Drosophila melanogaster: one gene and its partner. The gene in region 2 interacts genetically with the main gene of each other region. Each region holds a gene or a part of one and is shown on either strand. Other genes may lie near its edges.

The links. Genes that interact genetically often act in the same process or in processes that back each other up.
Region 1: of hppy (region 2) and raptor, changing one enhances a phenotype caused by changing the other (phenotypic enhancement), as found in Drosophila melanogaster (one study listed by BioGRID).

Annotation. Positions count from the first base shown.
Region 1 is NC_004354.4:6,085,568-6,093,631, forward strand, and holds the start of raptor (raptor), read right to left. Parts: upstream 4,635-8,064; 5' UTR 4,140-4,634; coding exon 2,705-4,139; intron 2,647-2,704; coding exon 1-2,646. Other genes in the region: Mipp2 (multiple inositol polyphosphate phosphatase 2), read right to left, coding at 4,842-5,275, 5,550-5,727.
Region 2 is NT_033778.4:19,175,008-19,182,970, reverse strand, and holds the start of hppy (happyhour), read right to left. Parts: upstream 4,234-7,963; 5' UTR 4,099-4,233; intron 3,473-4,098; 5' UTR 3,239-3,472; coding exon 3,113-3,238; intron 1-3,112. Other genes in the region: CG10737 (uncharacterized protein), read right to left, coding at 5,982-6,030, 6,228-6,383, 6,448-6,555, 6,624-6,783, 7,663-7,963.

The DNA.
Region 1 (8,064 bases), on a different chromosome or scaffold from region 2:
TCACTAATCGGGCTTTGCTCGGGGTATCCTCGGAGGTGGCAGAGCTGGCCGGCGGCGAGGATTGCCAGACGCGCACCACTCCGTCTTCGTGTGCCACCAAGTTGAGCGCCATATCCTGGGCATTGATAAACTCGATGCTGCTAACGCGGGCAAAGGGGGCGGCGGAAAATCCACCTCCACCTCCTCCACTTGTATGTGCGCCCGACTTTCGCGGAGTGCTGCCATTCAGCGATGAAGATGATCCGGAACCTGATCCGTAACCGGAACTATAGCCAGTGAAGTTGCCGCCAAGAGACTCGGCGCCGTATGTGCGTACCGAATTGTACTGAAAGTCGTACACCAGAACCTTCTCCCTGTAGGCCACTGCAATCTGCGGCTCGTAAGGCAGCAGCTTCACGATGGAAGGCGTGAACTGTGTCTTCCGGTTCCATACGCACACATCGAAGCCGTACGGATCGATCAGCTCCTGGTGCTTTCGGCCGGCATGTCGGCGTACGAAATCGTTCCTCAGGAAGCGCAACCTCCTGCGTCGCAGCTCCGCTGAGTTTCGGTCCACTGGGAAGCGCTGGCGCCCCTCCTCTGCCGATCCCTCGGCGCTGCTGTAGCGCTCCTTGCCGGGCCGTGTGAAATAGGAAATGGCCCAGGGTATGAATTCGGTCAGGACAATGGGCGTGAGGCTGTGTCCTGGCTCCAGGTAATGATTGCTCTCGCTGCCGCTGCTCCGCGCCGAATGGGTGCTCTCCCTCGGTCCACTGGGCAGTCCCAGACCAGTTCCGGCACCCGCAACTCCTCTGGAGTACCCTGGTCCGCTGTCCGTCTCATCGTTAATGGAGCTGGTGCGCAGCTTGCGCTGCAGAATGGTTTGAGGATCTCCAGCACCCATGCAGGCTCCACTGCCCGATAGTCGTAGCTTTTGTGCCCAGTGACTGGCGCCCGAGGCAGCTGCTCCGACGGGCGGTGATTCTGCAGTCGCGCCAGCTCCTCCTGGTGCACCGCCACCGCCCAAGTAATTAACTCTTGTATTTGGGCTGGGCGGGAGGCTAACACTTAGACTGCTGCATTTCTCCGAGGCATTGGCCATGGTGGCTTCCTTTGCGGCCATGATGGGACACAGTGCCGTGTCCCTCACATGTTCAACAATCTCCTGGGCAATGGCCGCTACACGAGGAAACGGATCCTGGGCCAGATTGCAGATGCCCAGCCAGAGCTTGGTAAAGATTGACTGAAAGGGTATGCTGTTAGTACCACCCGCAGCTCCGGCTGCTCCTCTTCCACCCGAACTGCCAGAACCACTCTTCGAGCGACCCAAAGGGTTGCTGGATGATCCTGTTCCCGAGCTTATTGACGCACCACCCATGTTGGATATGGAGCTGGAGCTGGCTCCCCTGCGAATGGTCACATGACGCTCCAGGCTGTGCGTGGAAGACGTCAGATCCCGGGGATCGGGGCACATCACGAACGAGGCGGCGGAGACGTGACCGCGCATGTGTTCAGTTAGATATACTGCCACGAACTGTGACTCGAAGAGCACCACCATCCATTGCAGGGCGGCGGCCAGCTCCATGCGGACCAGCGGCGACATATCCTCGCCGACGGTTTCGAGCATGGTAATGGCAATGATGCGATCGATATTATTGGCCTGTTCCTCGCTACGATCCGTCACGGAGCTAATAAATGTGCCTAAGGCGAAGACGGCAGCGGCTCTCACTTCCGGTATCGAGTCCCGCAGCAGTACGTACAGCTTCTCGTGCGCCAGGTCGCGTGCTCCCGACCAACGCGCCTTCTCAAAGTTCTGCCACAGCATGCCCAGACAGATGGCTAGCCACTGGCGCAGCAGCCAACTTCCGTCGTTCAACTGCTCAAGGCAAATAGACAGTAGGGGACCTTGAAGCGCGCTCGTCTGTCCCAGCAGGAAGTTGTGCACTATGGAGGACAATACAAAGGCGGACAGTGTACGGTGCTCCTTGGAAACGGAGGTGTCCTGCAGCACGGAGAGGAAGTACTTGTATTCCTTGACCAGATCCACCTGGCAGCTGGGATCCACGGCCAGGATCTTGGCCCAAATGAACACCAAAACGGGTCGCAGTTCGCGCGTAGAACTCTGCAGCAGTTTAAGCACGTATGGAAAGATGCCCACGCCCAGGGCGAGATTAACGGCCCACGGACCAAGATCCAGAAAGCGAGCCAGCAGCTCCAAGGCCCTCAGACGGTGCACCTGCGACAGTAGGACCTGCAGCACAATGGGCAGCTGTTCCGGTGGCGTTCTCGACTCCGATTCGCTGTCCAGCCAAACCTGGAAGGCCGTGAGCTGGTGCTCGAAGAATGGCAGCTGGCGGTACGGCGCATTGTGATCGAGAATCTCCGGCAGCTGCTGTAGAGCCAAATCTACCACCAGATCCCAGGCCTTCCACATCGGATGGCGATAACAAGGCGGCAGGGCAGGCAGGGAAACTGGTGTGCAGTCGTGGCTTCGCAGAATGCGCTCGGCCAACAGGAAATTGCGGAACAAGCTGGCCACCAGCAGATCCTGGCGAAACAGGCGCTGAAAGAGCTCGCGAGGAAGTGTGTTCCATGCTATCGTGTCCGTAATGGCGGTGAAGATCCAGTTAAGCTCACCCATCATAGTGCGCCGGTCGTTGACCTTGCCTGCGATAGAATTTAATGGTTAACAGCATTCCCTGGGTGAGTAAAGGTATAACCTTACCTGGAATCTTGTCGATCAGTTCGCTCTGAATACGCGGTACCATGCCCAGCTTTTCTTGCATGGCGTACCACTTGAGCGCTATGTTAATGGGTGTTGTCAGACAGCTGGTGAAAAGATCCGCCGGCAGCTGTGCATTCATCGGAAGAATCTCGTTTGCAGCACAGGCAGCCAGGTGTATACAGTTCTTGTAACTGACCATCTGGTTGGTTAACTGCACCTGGTTGGCGGCTACGTTGGCGGCACCACCAGAGCCGCCCACTAACTGTTGGACACCACCCCTCTGCTGGGCGGCGGCCAGCGCCTTCCCTAGTTCTTCCTCGTGCTGTTTAGCGTATGGCTGAAACGAATTGATGATGATCCCGGCGTTGGAGCAGTCATACACGTAGATGGAGGGCGCTGACATCCAAGTGATAAGCTCGAATATGCTCAGGGGGATGTACTGCGTGAAGGTCTTGTTGAACACCCAGATCTCCCCGTTGGCTGTGGGCTTGGGCACTCCGTGTCCGTTGTAGTGGAAGAGTATGCGCTCCCCCTTGGCGTTCCGGCGTAGGGAGGTGCAGAGCTTCTTAACGTCATCCACGGTGGGATCGTTGCACTTCTTGTACCGGGCCCTTGGCTGCCAGCGTTCGTACTGCATCTGCAGGTTGCTTCCAATGAGTTCCATGGCCTTTGGCGGGGACACCGAGCTGGGATCTATCCAGCACTCTAGCCGTGAGCAGGGTTGGATCTTGACCACGTCCGGCGGATCCACGCCGATGTTGAGGCACAGAACCAGGGCCACACTTGCCGTCTTCATGCGCTCGCGGATGCGCCACGGCTGTCTCTCGTACATCATGGCCTGGATGCGCTCCTTGTGCCTTTTAGTCTGCAGGGAGAGCGGGCACCTGTCGTCGCGGATACGCTCGCCGAAGCATAAGCTCCGAGCGGGCGGCATGCCCAGGATCTGTATTTCCTTCAACCGCAGTTTGATAGAGTCGTCCCGGGGCCATTCCTTTCTGATAGTCCGGATTAGCTCCCTCAAAGAACCGAGGGAGGCCAGTTCCTGGCCGTTGGAGGCCTGAATGTCGGATATTTGCTCGATGTGCTTCACGATTGGTACCAGTGATTGGTCCTGCCTCATGTTGCTAATCACCTTACCCAGGTCGTTCAGAGAGTCGTCCTGAGATGGGTCCCGGCCGATGGCCACCTGGTTCCCCAAGGCGGCGGATCGACAGTGCTCGATGTGCTCCAGTTGCTCCATTATCAAGATTATCGGATCGTCCCACGGGGCGAATACATATTTCTCGTATCTCTTGCGGATTAGGACGCTCAGGACGGCCTCCTTGCTGGAGGCCACCTCTTGATCCGCGACGCTGCCGTTGCTGCTGCCGCTGCTTTCGTCGACTGCGACGCCGACTGCGGCAGCGGCGGACTTAGCGCGAACGGCACTTGTCATGTTCTGCGTGCTTTTTGTTTCTCTCGTTTCTCGCTGTATTGCTTTTTTTCTTTTTCCGTTTGCCGAGGAGAGGGTGCAGCTCAATGCGAGCGATTTCCCGGAGCGATTACGTCTCGGTCGCGGATTCAATCAGCTAAAAATCCCCCCGAGGGGACTCTAGCACATAACCCCAAACACTTTTCGCACTTTCCGCACCTCCACCACCGCCAGCGCCTCCTCAGCTCCGCTCCGCGCTTTTCTGCTTTTCTTTCCACGTTCCTCTTCTCCACGTTTTCCGCCTACGGATCGCGGACCATTTCCCGAAAACGGGTAAAAAGAACTCGGGGAAAACACGCCGCCTGGGCTGATTAGGTCGATGCCGGGACAAAATAAAAACCGTACAACTATAGCGAGCGATCTCCGACGGAAGATGGTGCGCATTAACAGGTTTATTTACTTTCGCTTGGGTTTATTTATTTATGTTTAATCGAATTATATTATACGAAAAGAATTGCGCAGAAAATAGAGCTGGAACAAAAATCGATGATTTTTTCGATTGCACGCTGGCAAGCGGTTTACAACATTGATATCGATAATAAACTAACAGCGAAATGGCCTAGCTGTAATGAATGGCGTTGCCAGATCATTACAAGCTCATTTGTAGCGCGTAATTCAAAAGTTTGTTTTGGTTACATTGACAGAAAAAACTAAAGGACTGCTCACCCGCAAAACAGGATCCTCGTGCAAAGGCGGCGGATATCGTACAGTATGGATGCGATGACGGCCGAACAAACCCGTAGCGAAGCTTTCCGCACTTTTCAGCGTTCTCTGGGTCGCAGTATACTTGAAGTAGTACCACTCCGGATTGTACAACTCCGGAAGTAGATCCGGAAATCGCCGCTGCATCCGTTCCGCCAGCTCAATCAGCTCATCCTCACCCTCGGCCACCAGTAATTTCTCATCTTCAGTGGCATTCAGATGCATCCAGTGCCATTGGCGCAGCTTTTCCAATTCAGCGGTGCAGATCGGCGGCTTCGTCTGATCCAGAATGCGTTTCTTTATCTCTGATAGTCGATTTTGCGCCTGAAGGATAACGGATTCGCTAGGATTTCTAGTTCCGTGTCGGATGATGGTCCAAATTCGCGTCGGATGGCAGCCTTGTCGGGTGAAACGGTTAAAAGAGAAAAATCAGCTGTTCCATTGCCATTTGCTAGCAGTAGGCATCGGTAATAATAAACTAGTAATAGTATAATAACAAATCTAAAGCGATTCTCTGTTTTATGATCAATAAAGAATCCATATGCTTTCATGATTATGAATTCACTGTATTAAGCGAGCGCTGTTAACTGTCACATGGCACAACACATGTTTGTATTTCTAAGCGGGTGCCTACTGTGGGTGCGTTACACAGAAAACAACAAAAATACAAACCGGCGTATTTCGGTGGCGTTTCGTCATAATTTGCGATCGCTCTGTAGGGCGTCTTTGTGGACAGTCTGCCCTCGATATCTGCGCGATTAAGGCGGCGGCACTCCCCCTCTTCAGACAACGTCACGCCCACGAAGAAGTGGAGGAGCAACAAAAACAAGCAGTAAAATTGGCTTAGCATCTTTCCGGGCGGTGGAAAAACTTGTCACGAGATTAGAAACGAGGTTTACCGAAAAACGGGGTTAAAACGTGAAAAACAGAACGAAATGCCAGCTCAAAAGAAATCTAGGAAATAATAAACACGAAAGAAAAACAAATTGACAAGTGTGCTAGTCGCGCAAGGTGGCAAGGCTATCAGCTCAGCTGGCAGCCCTAACACATGGGGCAGCCAAAAAAAACCCGTTTCCACCGCCAGTTGGCGGTATTTTTAAATAGCATCTTCGATGGCATCAGTTGTAAGTGCTTGGTTGATTACTCATTTCAGGAAGCTTTATTAACACTATTTTATAATAAATTTAGTTAGATTTGCAGGTGCCTAAATCAGCGCATTGCCACTCAACAAGTGTTCACTTCGCCCAATCGAGCTTTCTGCCTCAAAAAGCTCTGTTTTAACCGGCCCGGCAAACTAAGCGATTAAAAAATGGTTTAGTCGCACGCCAAACACGCAAAAGGAATAAGCGTTGGCAAGGGAAGCATTTTGAATATCCTGTCCAAGAATAAAACGAGAAACTTACACACAACTTAAAATTGCAATAAATAATTAACACCCCTGAATTCGTTTCGTGTGGTCACTCAGTTTTTGTTCCTAAGAGTTTCGGTTAAAATTTGTGCTTATCGAGGTTCTCCTCGTTGCTTTTTGGCTGCCATATGGCGCCCAAGGAGCCACAATCCGCAAATGTCAATAGTGAAAAAAGGAATAGCTGAAACGCACATGCCAAAAGTTTTGCGCCAAAACTAAAGTTCCAGGTAACCGGTAGCTGGGAGTAGTTGTCCATTTGGGAATTTATGTATGGGAGCAGGAGCCGGAACATTGGAAGTGCCTAACTTTGATTTGTGGTAGGAACACACGCTACTGCACTGGAAAAAATCAAGCGCCTGAAAAGTAATTAAATTTTCTATAAGCCACCTTTCATTTTTAGACTTTTAGTGCATTTGCACTTTTTAACTGAAAACCTCTTATCACTGCTTACTGCTACTATCAACTTAACTTATTGACTTGGCCTGGGAAAATAATAAAATGCTAGTAAGCATGTGCATGGTAATTTAAGCATTTACGACAGATGCCCTGAGCTCATAAAAATTATCTTTATGTAAACATGTTTAGCTATTTATTTATTGGGCCAATTAAATTAGTTGATAACTTGAAAGCACGCCACTTTTCTCGCCGTGTATTCACGCCACCTGTTGGGCGCCCATTTCTTTTTTTGGAGCTTAAAGCGCGTGTTTGGAAACTTTCAATCTATTTTTGTGAGCTAGGATGGCAATCAGCTAACGAAAATCGATCAAATGATGGCTTTTCTTTGTTCGTAGGGTGAGGGTGGCTTGGTTACGTTAAAGGGCGGGGGAATCCACACACTCCCCACCGAATTTCGGGCGAGATTCCACCAAGCCGCCCATATATGATCGGTTGAGAATTTGTGGACAGTGGACAGGTATCCTATCAATCAGCGAAATCGAATGGGCAACGCAATTTCCGCGATTACCTGCCGCATCGAGTGGCCAAAAAAAAAAGTGTCACAAAGTAATTACACAAATGTGGGTGTTTTTCTTTTGTTTTGGATGGGGGCTGTGCCTGTGGATGGGGTTTTTGACGGGGGTAGTGCTTTATAATCTCCCAACTTATCGGACTGGGTGGTAATTAATATTTCTGTCCGAAGCCCATTGACAATGACACGATGATCACGCACTGATAATGCCAATGTCAACGCCAATGGCCACTGGATCGCTTGCTGGCTTGGTTATCCGGTTTTCTTGATTCTGGGTTCCTCTGGGATTGAGGGGCTGGGTGCTTTGGCCATTCATGATTGGCTTGCAGCGTCACACTGGCTGGGGCAGACAGCCGAAAAAAAAAAACAGAACCGCGATTAGACCGCTTCGTGTGTGGAACGTGCCAAATTAGCGGCACCTGTAGTACCGCCATAGTAATGACTTGGAGTTAAGGTAACAGAAGATCGAACCCACCTGCCAGGTAAATAGTCTGTCCATTCTGCACCGTCCATTGGTGGCTAACTTACAGATATCCTTGGAAACGGGAAGTACTACATTTTCCACTAAAAATAATTTGGAAAAACTAACTGAAAAACTAAACTAGCAATGCAATTTTCTACAACTTCAGTAGAACAATAAAAATTCAAGGATACTGTTAAGGGAATTGAAATCGTTCATTCTCCTGTCTCGCCTGTGTGTTCTTGAGATTGTGACCACTTCATATGGCATTGGCCCAACTCAACTATCTGCTCCAAATCTCCCGAGGAAGTCTCCGCTGCGATGTTGCTGAACTTTAATGCTTGACCATCCA
Region 2 (7,963 bases):
GCAAAAACAAAATAAAGAGCCAGCAGCAACAACAATGACGAGGATGATTGTTAAAGTGTGGCAACAACAACTACAATGGATGGCGAAGTCAAGTGCCTGGCAAAGGCAATCACACACACACACAAACGAAAGCACACGCATAAAATATGTATGCGCCTATGCACTAGTATTTGTGCCAGTTTTCATTGCATAACGCTAGGTAACCTGGCACTTTTCCTTTTGTGCTCCGTGAAAAGCACAGAGTTCACTATTTTCATATTTCTGTTATTTTCTTTTACCCACTTGCGTTTCGCTCTCGAATTTCCGGTAATGAAAACCCGGTGCAACAGCAGCACCTTCCTCTTGAGTCAAAGTTTTTCCCGTCTTGAGTTTTCCCACCCGCCATGTCAGGTGCCATTTATACTCCAAGTTTTTCTCCAGAGGAATACTCGTACAAATTAAAAACATTGCAATAACTTTTTATATAGTGCATATATAAACATGCATAAAATAACTAGAAGTTAAAATAAATATTTTTTAAGAATATTGAATAAGGGTGAAATATGGAAAAAAAAAGAGCACAGTTAAATAAACTCGAAACAAGCACGTAATATTAAACTGAGTCACTAGTCAAAAAATTATACTTTAGTCTTTAAATCTCACTGAAAATATAAATATGTACATTTCATTTATCATCTGCATTCGTTAAATTGAACATCTAAATTTGCATGTCAACAGTCCAGCAAGACTGAATCACATAAATTTTTAAAGCTCCACCCATTTTCTCCAGCTGAACATTTATTTGCGGCGTTGCACTAAATTTTTGGATCATTGTGCCACTAATAAGAATCAATGAGTGTGTTGTGGGGTTAGAAGGGGGTGTGGCATATGGGAGGAGGTGGAGCAAACAAATTGGAGCAGTAGAAACCCAATTCCATTCGTAATAGCCTGTCAACAGGGCGCATTGTTGTTCATTTCGCTGTTATTATTTCTATTGTAAATTGATATCGCGAAACGAGTTGCGAAAAAAATGAGAGGAAAAGCGAGCTTTTCGATTGCCCTGCACTTCAAGTGCTCGATGTGTAATAATGGTTTAGCCAAAAACTTATGCGGAAAACCAAACTGCAAATTATCCCCAAAACCGATTGTTTTCATTTGGCGAACTTGTCGCTTGTGTAAACAGAATCGAAATGCCATCGTCTCCTTTCTAGATGTGTGGCATCATAAATTCCCTTGACAACCAAATACCTCGGTGTGAAAATAAATAAAAAAAAAACCGAAGTAAAAAGCAGGGGGAACGAAAGAGTGTAAATTGCATGGTGGATTGAAACCGAAACCATGGGCTTTGGACTCATGGCATGACGCATCTCATGGATGGAACATGGAGAAAAGATACAGAAAGCAGAACGGAACGGGCTCTAAAAAACAAAAACGAGACACAATCAGATGGCAAAATGAGTAGAGGGCCACAAAACCAGATGTGGGCAAACATAAATAAATAAATAAATAACACATTCGAAACTAATCCGAATAATCAATGCAAGCGCGTGGCTGCTTATCGAATAAATTGAAGTGAGGCAAAATGAATCAAGTCCCAATATCAGTCTGATGAGCAAGAATAAGCATAATCTCAACAGTCTTACGCTTTGATGACTAATAATGATTGCCTGAGTTTACAGAAAAACAAGACTTTAGTCAACATAAAACGTTATTAACAAAAGCCAACCAAAAAACTGCACATATTGTTTAAAACCTAAGCATTCAAATTAAGCGAGTCAAAAACCATTCAAATGTCGTGCAGAATTGTGGTGCACATTATAGACATATTGATTTCATTGTGCGCTGTCAAACCAAGTTATCAATATGCCAAAGCAAATTAATTAACAATTCTCTCATTTTCTACAAATTAAAATCTATAAATTACGATATACTTAATATCGAATTTCAAAAGTGCACAAACTAATTGAATTCCCATCTTTTATGAGCAATGTGAAATTTAATCAATTTCAATTTCGTCAAAATTAATCGAATGGAAAACGTTCGAAAAGCTGATGATTTATAGATTTTGGGTTGCCAACTAGAATGCAATAAATCGAATTGGGGAAATCCCTCGAATTCAAAGGCATTCCATATGGAAAATGAGGAACTTAACCCTTGGTCTGCACATGAGAAATACCATAATATCTCCCCCGATATATTCCCATATAATCCCGCCCCTGGCAACAACAATTGCAACGTGCCACGCCCCCCCGCCCAAGGGCAACTTCTCTGGCGTTTCGGGGCATTTGTCATACTTCCCTTCGACGGGCAGCAAGAGTAAACATGGAAGTTGGATGGTATAAAAAGAACGATCCAACAGAGAAGAAGATGGAAAACTAAAATTGCGCATATTTTTGTTTGTGGCGGGGCGAGGGGTTTGGGGGAAGGGGGTGCTGAAAGGGATGTGGAGTGAAGGGGGGGTGGGGGTAGTGAAGGAATGAGAAACATGCTGTGGCAAACAGATGTACAAATGAGGGTCTGCAAGTGGGTGGCGGTGGGGAGATCGAGGGGGTACATGCACTCTTGCACTGGAGCAAAAAAACATTCCTCCTTTATGATTTAATGCGTTCTACATTTTAACGCACATACAATTTTATTATTTATGTGGCGTGGTGAGCAATAATGATACTCCACATTGAGATATGTAACTAAATTCATTTTCTATAAATGCATAACGGACTAGAACTAGTTTTACCATATGGAACACATTCAACTTTAAAATTTATTCTTGATTATGTGTCCAAAAATTATCCAATAAGAACATTATTCCTAGGTTTTGCAATCCAATGAGGCAATAGTGTTACATAATGTGTGATGTCTCTTTATTGAACAGAAAACTTCCTGATACAATTCAAAGTGAATTAATCGAATTTGAGAACTGTTGGATAATTTTTTCCTGTGCAGACGGAATGCAAAAATTGCAGTGAGGGAAACTATAAAAACTTACGGATTTTTGGGGAAACATTCTAAATCCAAAGAGCACACTTTGCAATTTCTTTGCCTTTTGTTTGCTGTTGTTTTTATTTAGAAGTTTTTGCCTTTCCCTTCCTAATACCACTTTGTACTACAGCTAAAGGCTTCTATTTCGACTCACCTTATAGACGTCGCCGTAGGTTCCCGAGCCAATCTTTTGGATGAGTTCGTACTCGTCCTGCGGATTTCGGCGAGAGATGTCCGAGCTGAGCATATTGGCATTGTGGTGACTGTGGGCGGCGGCCATCTTGGCAGCTTCCGTATCCGTATGCCGTTGCCGTTTCCGCTTCCGCTTCCGCTTTCGGTTCGAGGCGATCGAGTCCTTTTGGCTGGACCTCTCTTTACTGGGTGGGTATACTCTTAATATTTGATTGACACTCTTACTCTTGACGCTGCTTTATTCGTTTTTTGGGTTTGACTGATTAGCACACGTAGCAGGCGAAATTTAGATACTTTTGTGGATCGAGATGCATTTTGGACGCTTTGAAATACACACAATTACGTAAGGTTAACTGGACTTTTGTATATTATGTATTAAACATATACATTTATTTCATATGAATCAGATTCTGATCAGAGAATTGAATTGATACACACACGAAACTAGAGAATCGCGAATTATGACGCAGAATAAAAAAAAAAGCGATGAAAACAAAAATCAGCAAATAAAGCAGCAACAACAAATTTGATAAAGGCCAGGGTGGAGAAGAAGGTGGAGAAAGCGCGGGGGTGGGAGCGAGAGGGCAAGTGAACGATGTCTCGTTTTTTGTAATCCCCTCTCTCGTTCGCGCTCTCTCTCTTCCACTGCATATATTCTTTATCTTCTCGTCTCCTCTTCCTTGCTTCTCAATGCATTTGCACTTTAATTACTTTTTATTAGAATTTATGAAGGCCACTTTTGTTTTTGCCAGCGAAATTGCCTAAATAAATAAATAGTTGCTGTGCTGCCGAGTAAAAAAACACGCGACAACAAAAACAACAACGCGAGGCGTGTCGCTTTGTCGCCCGTTCGTGGTGTTGTTGTTGCTGGTGTAAATACTACGTTTATTATTTTTTTTTTATAATTTTATTCCGATTTTCGCTAAGCGCTAGGTGAGCACCACAAACCGTTCACATATTACACCGACACGTGATTGCGGGGCAAATTCGGCCAGTGGATAATTAACAATTGTCCTACGAACACGAAAAATTTCACATGCACTTCGTCAACGCGCAGCCCACAAATGTTGTTGTTCCTCTCACCCCTCGCTAGCGATGGCACTCTGCCCGCGGGCCTATCGATAGCAGCGCTGGTCGTTCGGCGGTGGCAACTCTGTCGGGCTGTCGTTTCGAAGATATCGATATTAGTTGGCCAGAAGGGGTGGCCAGACAGGGGAAATTTTTAAACTGCTGAAGGACATTCGAAATTCAATAAAATGAATCATTGAATCCACATGAAAGTACATTTAGTAGCAGCGTTAAAGGAATACATTAGTTAAAGCTCTCAAATCTACTTCAATGTTTCTTTAGTTATTAATTAGAATGTCATACAAATGATTTGTCACTGTATTGCCAATCAGCAATGTTTTATAGGAACTTCCCCTTAATCTTTCCTACGTTACTAAGACCTAAATCAGCCACAAACTGGGAAAACTCCTTTGTGCAGACCGCCGTTCCCAACAACAACAATTGGATCCTAAACTCGAAACAAGTGAAATGTTTAATATCTACACGCAAACTACTGCCAACTGCTTTCCGAAAAATATCCGGTATTATTAGTGATCACAACTTTATTGATTCACCGAATTTGTTGTTTAATTTAAAAAAAAAACCCTAATTCACTTTTATTTTGTACAATTATTATTCGTGTTTGTAGAAAATACAAAATATCAAAGGGCTCGAGCACGTTGACACGGAGAAATGGGTTAAAAACGAATCCAAAGAACTTATTGCACATGTGTGTGTTCGCGTGAGTGTATAAATAAATAACGTAAAATGTATCGAGATGTTCCATAGCAGAAGAAGATGGTTAGCACAGCTCCTTCCTTCACTTCTATGTAACTAGGGTATTATTTCGATTAAGGTTTCTCGGCTTGGGGCTGTCTGGCTTGGATTCCAGGGTATTCCCCATATTCACAGCTTCCGTATGCTGCGATCTGCCGCCGCTGAATTGAGTTTAGTTCTGTGAAAATAAGAGAAAAACGAACGTTAGATATATCTAGACAAGTGCAATATCAATGGTTAACAATTGGAAAACAAGCTTCAAACAGTATTAGGCCGAATCTGAACGAATTAACTGAACAATCCTCAGAAGGAATTGCATTAGTATGGATCGCAGTGCGATCAAAACCGAACGAGAGTGTTAATTTAGTACACAACACAGTGGAGCAGAACGAGGAATTTCATGCGAATGCGTTGCCAGCTTACCCCGATTTTCCAGCTGCCAAAGGGTCAACTGGAAAATGCGCGAACCACACAAAACTGCAGCAGAACGGATCTAGAACCCTGGAGTTTTTTCTATTTTTTGTTTGGTCAAATCGAAGGAGGATTGTGTAGGTTCTTTTTTAACTATATATATGTATATATATGGCGTCAGAATGAACTCGCACATCGCTTGGATAGCACTTAAGAATGGTATTTAACTGGCTTTAAAGATGCTGTGCTGTGGCTGAGACCTTTCTACTCCTCACTGGCCATCCTGTGTCCGTGTGGGTGGTTTGGTTGTATTTCGTGTGAGGGATGCGATGAGAAAAAGAGCTCGAATTAGTGCCCAGAAGTTATATTACACATAATGAAACAGCGTGGCCAAGCGAGGTGACAGTGCGATTGGGTATGGGAGGATGCTAGCGGAAGCCGGAAAACGAAGCCGAATTTTCCATTTCTGACGCCAATTCAGTGGAGTGAGTAAATCAAAAATTGCTCTTGGTAAATATCAAACTGCATTTGGCGGATTCAAGTTGTTTACAAAAGAATAAGTATTCAGATAGTTGGATTGGTCACAAAATAAGGATTTAGTTAACTAGGTTTATATCTCTCTCTGTGAGTACCGGAAATGACGTTCTGTTTTATTTATTTTTTGTTTCATTGGGTGGGTGTGCGTATTCGTGTGTTGTGTTGTGTGTGTGTGTGGAAAGAGAAAAATAAAACGAAATCAATAAATTAGTATTGGGTATTGGTTAGGAGTTTGTAATTCCCTCAAATATCAAAATCGGGCAGAGAAAAGGATGAAAAGCTGACGGAGATTCAGGTACACTTACAGTTCCATGGAGAGCACCGTGGGATTGGGACATGCTTGTGGTGCCCGTATGTGGCACTGCTTGTGACTAATCAGCTGGCAGTCGCGACACTCGTAGCCCTGCTTTCCGGGCCTCCGCGGGATGGACTTCATACAGATGGAGCACTGCAGACCGCTTCTGGAATGTGAAAGGATTCGTTAATTATATTCAAAGCAACTAATGCTTACTACTTTAAACTTACCCGCTCAAATGCTTGGCGATGAAGGTGTGATCGTTGTAGATGTGCAGCTTGGTGCCCTTGCGACGCCAGCGCGGTCTCTGGGCGATGGCCAAAGGCACAATGAAGTGGCTAAAGATCATGCACATGAAGCAGTTCCATCAGAATCCATAAAATGCAAACACTCGATCGAAACTCACCGCTTTATGCCATTCTCGATGGTCTCCAGCACCAGGGTGGAGGCCTCGTGCACGTAGGTTTTATTGCTAGCCGAGGAAAAGCCTGAGATGGCCGAGGATTCTGAAATTGAGGAGCGACGTGAGTGGTCGGTGATGGAGTGACCAATGCCCATGCGTGGTCCTGCGTTTTATTAATTTTAGTGTGTGTTTGTTTTTGTTTTTTTTTTATGTGGCAAGTTGAGAGTGGCACACAAACCAAGCACCCGTTAGGACCCATCAAATCATATTTTGCACATATGAAAATAAACAAAAGAAAAGAATAGGAGAGGAGTATGAGAAATAATCACAACCAAAATCGAATCAGAGATTATAAAAAGAAAAATTCAAAAGCCAAATTCCAAAAATAAACCCAAATATTTACAAAAAATATTCCAAAAATATTCAACCGTGTTAAGTTTTTGTTGAAATAGGTGTTTCATGTGCGTGTATCGGAACCATGAAATACATACAGATTCGTGTTGTGGATCACAGTTCAGTTAGCAGTTGATGGGTATTGTGTTAAGGGAGAGAAGATAAAACAGACAACAGATGTAGATACAAGTACAGATACAGATTACCAAACAGTTAATTTACAAGCTTTGAATGGTACAATATCTTGGGGTACTTAAACTTTAAGGGAGAAAAGCAATTTACACTTAGTACTAAAGTTATTCATGAAATAAGATGTGATGTATGAAAAATAATGATTTTGTGATTTGAATCATGGCTTATAACTACTACTTATAAGGCTGAAGCCTGAATAATAAAGCGAAAGTCCCAATTACATATGAAAATGGACGCTTTTTAGAGAGCCAAAAATATGAACAACTTAAGATAGGTATTAGACATAAAAGATTTTGCAATGCACTAAGCAGTTAATAGTTGTTCTATATGAAGTGATATTCCTTCGCAGAGTTATTAGCAGAATGCAGGAGTTGTCCAAAAAAATTGTGCGTTAAGCCGGGCTCAAATAGTTAAAACGTGGACACTGGCGGAGGACTGTGACTGAGATGGTAATTACCAAGTGAATTGCTTTTGGACAGAGTGGCACGATCGACAGATAATGAACGGGAAGAATCACCATTGAGGGTTCCGGTGGCTGTTCGAGGGAATCCGGTGGCTGTTGTTGTATTCGAGTTGGTGGCTGATAGTGACTTATGACTGTTATTATTAGGTTGATCGGCCGAGAGGGTGCGTGTCTTGGAGCGGCTGAGCCGCTTCTTCAGGGTGCCAAAGAAATTACGTTTTTTGCTGCGCCCGCGATCATCGACCACGTCATGGCCCTCCAATAATCCGGATTGCTGAGCCAGCTGCTGGGCACC